2 linked regions of the Oryzias latipes genome follow. The protein of the gene in region 1 purifies or fractionates together with the protein of each later gene. This does not show direct contact. Links are inferred from orthologs where the notes say so. Each region holds a gene or a part of one and is shown on either strand. Other genes may lie near its edges.

Region 1 (3,564 bases):
CGGATGCATGAAGCCATTGCCTCTGAAATTAGGATGCAGAACAAGGAAGGATGTTGACAGAAAAATGCATTTGATAAAGCTGATCCTGTCTTAAGCCCTCTTCTCATTCAGCGTCCGAAACCCTTCTCCAGTCCCGACACACACTGCAGGGTTTAGCCGTGCTATAATATAGATCAAAATAACCTTCTGTCCTTCATGTATGTGCTGATAGACCAACAACCCCATACACCAAGTCTAAACGAGGCCAGAGAGAGGAGGAACAGGAGGATCTGTCCAAGGACCTGGATGAAACGTCACCTGTTCCACCGTCTGAAGATGGGAATGCAGCAAAGACAAGTATGCACATTTACATCCCTGTTCACTTTAGATAAGATGGAACTGTGAAAACACACCTTATTGTTCACTCTGACAACCGTTCACTCAGTCACTGTTGGTGAAACATGAACAAAGGGAGGATTGTCACCTTGGTAGCTTTCACTTAAAGGCGAATAAATCCTAACCTTGTGTTTGTGGGACAGTTGGTAAAGCTGACAGAACTTGACTGCACGGATGTTCCTGTTGAAGGGGCTGGTGATTTCTTTGAAGAAGCCCTGGAGTTGGACCTATTTACTTAGTGAAAACCTTCTGTTTCTGTGCAGATAATACCAAGAAAGACTCAGATTCCACTCCAGTCAAGGGAGGAACTGACATGGGTGAGTCTAGTAAAGGGGGCAGACGCATTCGTCTGGCAACTGCGTGGGGTGTTGAGAAAAATATATTCTATTTGTTGATGTATCGCAACAATTCATTTGACGATACTTGTATTGATTTAAAATACTGTCAAGAGGATTTTTATTTAGTTGTTTATGAGCGTCCATCAGCGTCTGACTCCTTTTCCTCTTAGGCCCCCGACCGCTAGTTGGCAGCACCGCCCACTGAGCCTCTTTGAGCAGCTCTATAATGCACCAAAACAGATCTCGTGAGAATTAGCTTAAGTTAAATGTTCAGGTTTTGTTGTTATGAGACCTGAATTTTTAATTTCTTAAAATAAAAATGAAAAATTGGTGTATATTTATTCATATCTAAGGGGAATCTGACTGGAAATATGGGATTGGGCAACTATACATTAGGACTTAAACACTGTCCATATAACCTAACCTGACAGAATCAAATGTAAAAGGATTTATGCTAGAGTAACAAGCACACATATGTTTCTATGCAACTGTAATTGTCGCTTTAAAAAGTTATAATAAATAAATAATGAGTTATTTAACATTAAGGAGTAGTTACATTTATTTATCAGTACATTTAGTTACATGTCTAAGTTATATCTGGCCCTTTGAGGACAGCCACTATGCTGATGTGGCCCTCAGTGAAAATGACTTTGACACCCCTGCTGTAGCCAATACACACCCCTTGGAACTGTTTTATTATTACTAGCTGTTCTTCTGTTGAATTGATTTGATTTATTGATTGATTTCAAGCATTGTAGTCAAAGCAATAAAGAATTTGCACATATTTTTTAAACTCATTACAGAAATTTTGAAATGCATAGATTAAAAAGACAGAAAATAAAACAAAACAAAACAAAACAAAAATGTCACTTAAATCACATTTGCTTAATTAAATACAGTGATCATTAACTAAAGTATAAGTATAGCTTGATTTATTGCTGGAAAAGCAGCGGGAATAAGCAAACCTATATAATCCCACCCCTACTGAGTTAATTCATTTTACAGTTTTTGTAATCCGGTTCTGATCCGATAGAGTCTTTTCAAGTAACAAAATGATTGATTATCTTCAGAAAACATTCATTTATTTATATCAGTAAACAGTATCGGTAACCAATATGTGATAACCATTGATTATTATTAGAACACATGATGACATTAAACCATTAATTATTGCTGCACATTGCAGATCAAGTAAACAAAATCAATAGTTATTGATTGTAATTTAAACGTTTCATTAATCATTATTACACATTACAATGTAAAACTCAGTGGTTGTAATTAAAAGAGCTTTGATTATTTCACCACAATCAAGTTCACACATGTATTTAGAATTATTCAAACAGCTGTTGATCCTTAAATCTTCTTATTTTCATATTGTGAAATCAGAGTTTCTTCATACCTTTTCTTGAATATTTGGATATTTGAACATTTTTTGAGCTCATTACTTAACTTGTTCCAAAGTTTGTTGCCACACACAGAAACTTTTCTTTGTGGTTCTTATCAGTTTGATCTTGACGTTCCTACATCCTCTCAGTTTGTAGCCTTGTAGCCTCCTTCATTTTCTAAGAACTGTTTCTGGATGTTGAATGGTAACGATTTCCCACTGACTCTGAATTAAGCAGATGAGCAAGAGGACGAGTCCATGGAAACCACAGGGAAGGTATTGTCACCTCCAGCAGCGGCGCTTTTAAAACATGGACGCAAACATTCAGAAAAGACGTGTTTGTTTGAGCTCGGGTGTTCTTGTTCCAACAGGAAGAGGAGGAAGGCTCTCCGAGTGTGAAGGGGGAGCCAGTGAAGAGTTCAGATCTTCACGAGGACAACGTGACTGAACAAACGCACCACATCATCATACCAAGCTATGCTGCCTGGTTTGACTACAACAGGTACAAATGACCCTTTTCAACTTATTTAGCAGGAGTTGATCTTCAGGATCATATTCAGTATACAATGTTGCAACAGTTGAGCGTTACAATAGTGACATGAACTCAAAGCTCTTCATAAACTCTGTGATGCAGTGTTCATGCCATCGAGCGCAGAGCCCTTCCTGAGTTTTTCAATGGGAAGAACAAATCCAAAACTCCTGAGATGTAAGTCCTGCATAGATACTGTTCCTTAAAGAAAGTAACAGATTACTATATTTCTTCACCTTTGTTGTATTGATGCACTGTGTCGTTTTGGATGATCTCCGTTTTCTTCCTCTGTCTCGTTCTGTCAGTTATCTGGCGTACAGAAACTTCATGATTGACACCTACAGACTAAACCCTCAGGAGTATCTGACCTCCACCGCCTGCCGTAGGAACTTGGCGGGAGATGTGTGCGCCATCATGAGGTAAGTGGAGCATCTGTTTACATCTCCTCTCACATCTAGCAGCTAACAGGCTGTCAGTACTTCTTTGTTTGTTTGCTCTACAGAGTCCATGCCTTTTTGGAACAATGGGGGCTGATCAACTACCAAGTGGACTCTGAAAGTCGGCCCACACCGATGGGACCCCCACCCACCTCTCACTTCCATGTCCTGGCGGACACCCCATCCAGTTTAGTTCCACTGCAGCCCAAGACCTCCCAGGTGTGTGTATCCTCAGACATTCTCATGCAAATGAAACCTGACCCCGATTGACCTTTTTCCTTCCGTCCCGGTTTTCCTGCAGACTCCTGCCCCCCAGCCAATTATGTCTTTTCCTGATAAAATGAAGGAGAAGCCAACAGACCTGCAGAACTTTGGGCTGCGGACTGACATGTACAGCAAGAAAACTTGCTCTGTGAAGGTAACAAACCAGCTACAACAATCCCTGCACTGTTAATCAGTTTAATTTATCATTATGAATCAATTTTGACAACAAATGTTTGT
Region 2 (4,190 bases), on another chromosome or scaffold:
TTTTATTTATCATGTGACCATGTTGACTGCCACTCACATGTTGTCATAGGGAAAACACCTGACATGTTTTCTGTGAGGTTTAATTGTAGATTTAAATATTTGAACACAGACAAACACATATTTATTTATATTTATAACACGCGTCCTCGTGTATTTTCTAACAGGGTCATATTTACGTAGCTCTGGACATGTTAGAAAACATCTTCCCTCAAAATAATCATTTGTGGCCATGAATTTGTATTTTGTGTGCACAAATTAGCATTTTGAAGCCACATTTTGGTAATTCATGGCCACAAATCAGCATTTTCTAAACATTTGTTGTGGGCACAAAGTAGCATTAATAGGAAAAAGGTTAGTACACAAGTTTGAAGGTAGCATTTTGTGTGTACAAATAAGCATTTTATTACTATTTTTTGCACACAAATTAGCATTTGCACAAATGTACAAACTGGCAAATTGTAGTCGGACAGTAGCGTTTTGTGGCCACAAATTAGCCTTCCGTTATAACAACTTAGCATTTTATGAGAACAAATTAGTTTTGTGCAAACAAATTAGCATTTCATTAGCATTTTGTGGGCACGAAAAAGGATTTTATGGGCAATGTATGCATTTGGTTTGCACCAAATTTGTATTTTGTGCATACAAGTTTGCTGTGTACACAAAATTAGTATTTAGTGCACACAAATTAGAATTTTTTGGACACAAATGAGTATTTTGAGCAAACAAATTGGCATTAAATTGGCATTTGGTGGTCACATATTAGCATTCTGTATGAACATGTTCTTATCTTCTCAAAATTCGTATTTTGTGTGCACAAGTTGCAATTTATTAGCATTTTGTGCCCACAAATGAGAATTTGTGGGCATAAACTGCTACTTTGTGTGCACAAATTCGCACTTTGTGGACACAAATAGTATTTTGTCTTCACAATTTGTGGACACAAATTTATATTTTGTGGGCACAAGTTGGTATTTTTACAACACTCGGTGGGCGTAAATGAGTAGGCCTAGTTTGTGTGCGCAAATGAGCATTTATTACACACAAATTAACATTTTGTGTTTACAAAATAACATCATGATGTACGCACATCTACATGCACAAATTGGTGTTGTGTGCACAAATTTCTAATTAGCTAATCCGAGGCCACAAATTATTAATTTGAGGGAACCATTGGTCTTTTTTGTGCCATGTACAGGGCTTCGTACATATTTTATTATTTCCTGAAACGTTCAAAACTATCCCACGCACTTCGAACACACTATAACTTACATTATCGGTACATGACTGAGCACAAAACCTCAAGATTACAGAAAACGAGGAGGTCCAAGTATCGCGAGATTTATCCCTCTGGGAGGATCGGGGCTTGAAGTTTCAGATGCATCGGTAGATGAATCATAACGGGATCAAGATGTCTGGACGATCAGGCCGCGCTGAGACCCGAAGTCGGGCCAAAGACGACATCAAAAAGGTCCTGGCGGCCATCGAGAAAGTGCGCAAATGGTATGTAAACTGCGCGGCGCAAAAAGGGCATGAAAATCGAGACCGCGGCGCGATATCTTGCTGCGTAGCTCAACAAACTTCAGTCGGGAAAGTTGGATGATTGACAAGGCTTTCGACCAACCAGCGCGCCCGTTTGACAGAGGAGGCGGGGCTAGTTGAGTTTTTCCGCCGACAGCTGTCAATATGGCTCCAGCAGCTTCACATGCGGCGGCTTGAGAAGTCGGCGAGCCTCCTGAGAGCTGCATTGCTGTGGAAATCAGACACTAACGCGTTACATTGAATTTCCTCCATTCTGCTGTGCACGGAGAAGTAGAGGGTTTTGATCAGATATTAGCTCCGCTGCACCGGACTATGAAAACACGCGTGACTAATAAATGCGTTCATTTCTCTATTATTATTACGACGCCCTGAAATCTAGCAGCTGCTAGGAGATTTCCCCATGATCCAACGTACATTTCTCCTCAGGGAGAAGAAATGGGTGACGGTTGGAGACACGTCCCTGCGCATATTCAAGTGGGTTCCAGTCACTGAAACGAAACAGGTGTGAGCCTCAGTCAATAAAACACACAGAGACCTGTGTCACGACCTGCATCCTCCTGATGGGTTTCATCCTCTTTCCAGATCTTTCGGACCAAATCTACGGGTGGAGACGTTAGGGGACTGAAGGATGTGGTTCTGGAAAACACCAACTCTTTGCTGGATTTCACAGGTAGCCTGAGGATTCCTAAAGAACATTTTCTTTATCATTCATATCTTGGATCAATTGGGTTTGATTTAACCAGATCAAAGTGATCCTCCATTCCAAGGGTTTCATGATTGTTCCAAACGTCTGCTCTTAGATGACAACAGCAATCAAAGCTTCATGTCAGACGTTTATCAACCAAAAATGGACAACAGCAGCAGCAACTCCAGCTCCCAGCAGGTCAGCCCCCCGCATACCTTCAGCCTCCGAGCGGAGGACTCCCAGCCGCCCATGCTGGGCCAGGAGAGTGTGGATGGTATGTAAATAAAACCATGTCCAGAACTGTCATTAAAATCCTGTTTTTGGTGTTTCTAACATGTTCTTGTTGCATTTTTCTGATGATGGCCATGTATAAACAATTATAGCTTAAAACTGCATTTCTGAGTATTTTTTTATTCAAACTGTGAATCAGGAGCAGATAAAAAAAAAAAAAGTGGTGGAGGATAAAGCTCCCTGCTCTGCTCCATTTCGATGCATCCACAATCATATCCATGTTCGCCTTTGTTCTCCTTGTCCAAGCTGGCTGGATGCTCCAATGTTGCTCACCAGTTTCACCTGTAATGTTTTGTTGGGGTTGTAGGGGGCTGTAAGCTACTGGGAGTGAGTGTAAACAAAGGAGATGATGGGAAATTACTCTGCGCCAGTGGTCCCGCCCACAACTCAGAAGAATTCCTAATGAACTGCTGCTGCTCTGCAGAAACTCTCCTAAGAAACAATACAAGTTTTTTTTTTTGTGTGTGTGGCTAAAAATAGCATAATAATAATTAAAAGACCACTGGGAACACTGAAAATAGATCAGAAGATGACTTTAAATGAATAAAAACAAAATCTCTTCCTAACTTAATGACACAGTGTCTTCTCTCTCTTGATGCAGAACCAGTCCATTTGGGACAGGAAGGTGCAGATGAGCCACCTACTCTTATTAAAGAGGACCCTCTCTCATCTGGAGCCATCAAACGGGGAGCTTCAGATATACAGGTTTCTCTTCGACAGCTTCCAAGACAAACTCAAGCACATCTTCATGAAATACAGTGGTCCCCTTAGTATATTGCGCTTGGAATAAAAGAGTGTAATTCTGCGTGTTGTTCTTTCTAACAGCGTATCGTGTTCTGCCCCCTCATTGGCTCTTGACAACGGTCAATCAATCTCCTCCATGCACTATCTCCTAAGCAGTCTGTTTGAAAAATGGGCACAAATCTTCAATTGTGATCAGATGTTTGCTTTCCGTCTATGATCCTTTACATACTTTTCTGGGAAGGTTTGAACTTTGAGAGTTTAAGCAAGAGAAAAAAACTGGGAAAATGTTCATTTCTGTCTGAGAAAATAGTATAAAGTGTAAAATAAAGATAAAGTCCCACTATCTGTCACACACCTAGGTGTGGGAAATTTGTTTTCCGCATTTGACCCATCCCCTGGGGGAGCGGTGAGCTGCCGACGAGCCGCGCTCGGGTGGTCCAAGCCAACCCCTTAATGTTGAGTGTCAAGCAGGGAGGCATTGGGTCCCATTTTTAAAGTCTTTGGTATAGTAAAGTGGTATAGTAGGCATTCCAGCCTTGAAACATCTGTAATGCTACTCTGTGGATTTCATCTATCGCAGCGATAAACGAGGGGACACTGTATCCCATTTCACGTCGAGTTAGTTATGTCCTGATAAGTTTTGAGGTGTAAATAGAAGCTGACATGTCTAACTTGTACTCTTGTCCAGCAGGAGGACCTACCGGTAGATGAATCGGGGGCACCGCCTTTGAAGAGGATTTGCAAAGGGGAAAATGCAGCGCTGAGATAGCTTTTGTACCACCTTTTTGTCCGTAATGCATAAGAAACCTGCTTGGATGTTGGGAAATTAACAACATTTTCAGAATTATGATGGGTTTCTTTTTACATGTTTATGCAAGTATTACTCATTACAGTTCAGCTGAGACTTTTTAAACTGTTATGAAGCTTAAAG

Evidence for each region. Proteins that work in one complex are often made in the same cells at the same time.
Region 2: the proteins of smarcc2 (region 1) and bcl7b purify together in Homo sapiens (affinity purification with mass spectrometry; 3 studies listed by BioGRID and IntAct, counting the BioPlex papers as one, with this or other methods). This does not show direct contact. The link is inferred for Oryzias latipes from reciprocal best matches to the Homo sapiens genes SMARCC2 and BCL7B.

Annotation. Positions count from the first base shown.
Region 1 is NC_019863.2:4,297,125-4,300,688, reverse strand, and holds part of smarcc2 (SWI/SNF complex subunit SMARCC2), read left to right. Parts: intron 1-211; coding exon 212-336; intron 337-638; coding exon 639-692; intron 693-2,332; coding exon of another isoform or gene 2,333-2,335; coding exon 2,336-2,373; intron 2,374-2,468; coding exon 2,469-2,599; intron 2,600-2,731; coding exon 2,732-2,803; intron 2,804-2,931; coding exon 2,932-3,045; intron 3,046-3,128; coding exon 3,129-3,282; intron 3,283-3,364; coding exon 3,365-3,481; intron 3,482-3,564. UniProt on the Homo sapiens protein: Involved in transcriptional activation and repression of select genes by chromatin remodeling (alteration of DNA-nucleosome topology).
Region 2 is NC_019871.2:22,450,546-22,454,735, forward strand, and holds the start of bcl7b (B-cell CLL/lymphoma 7 protein family member B), read left to right. Parts: upstream 1-1,338; 5' UTR 1,339-1,387; coding exon 1,388-1,500; intron 1,501-1,965; coding exon 1,966-2,041; intron 2,042-2,121; coding exon 2,122-2,209; intron 2,210-2,339; coding exon 2,340-2,498; intron 2,499-3,116; coding exon 3,117-3,220; intron 3,221-3,947; coding exon 3,948-4,028; 3' UTR 4,029-4,190. UniProt on the Homo sapiens protein: Positive regulator of apoptosis. Plays a role in the Wnt signaling pathway, negatively regulating the expression of Wnt signaling components CTNNB1 and HMGA1.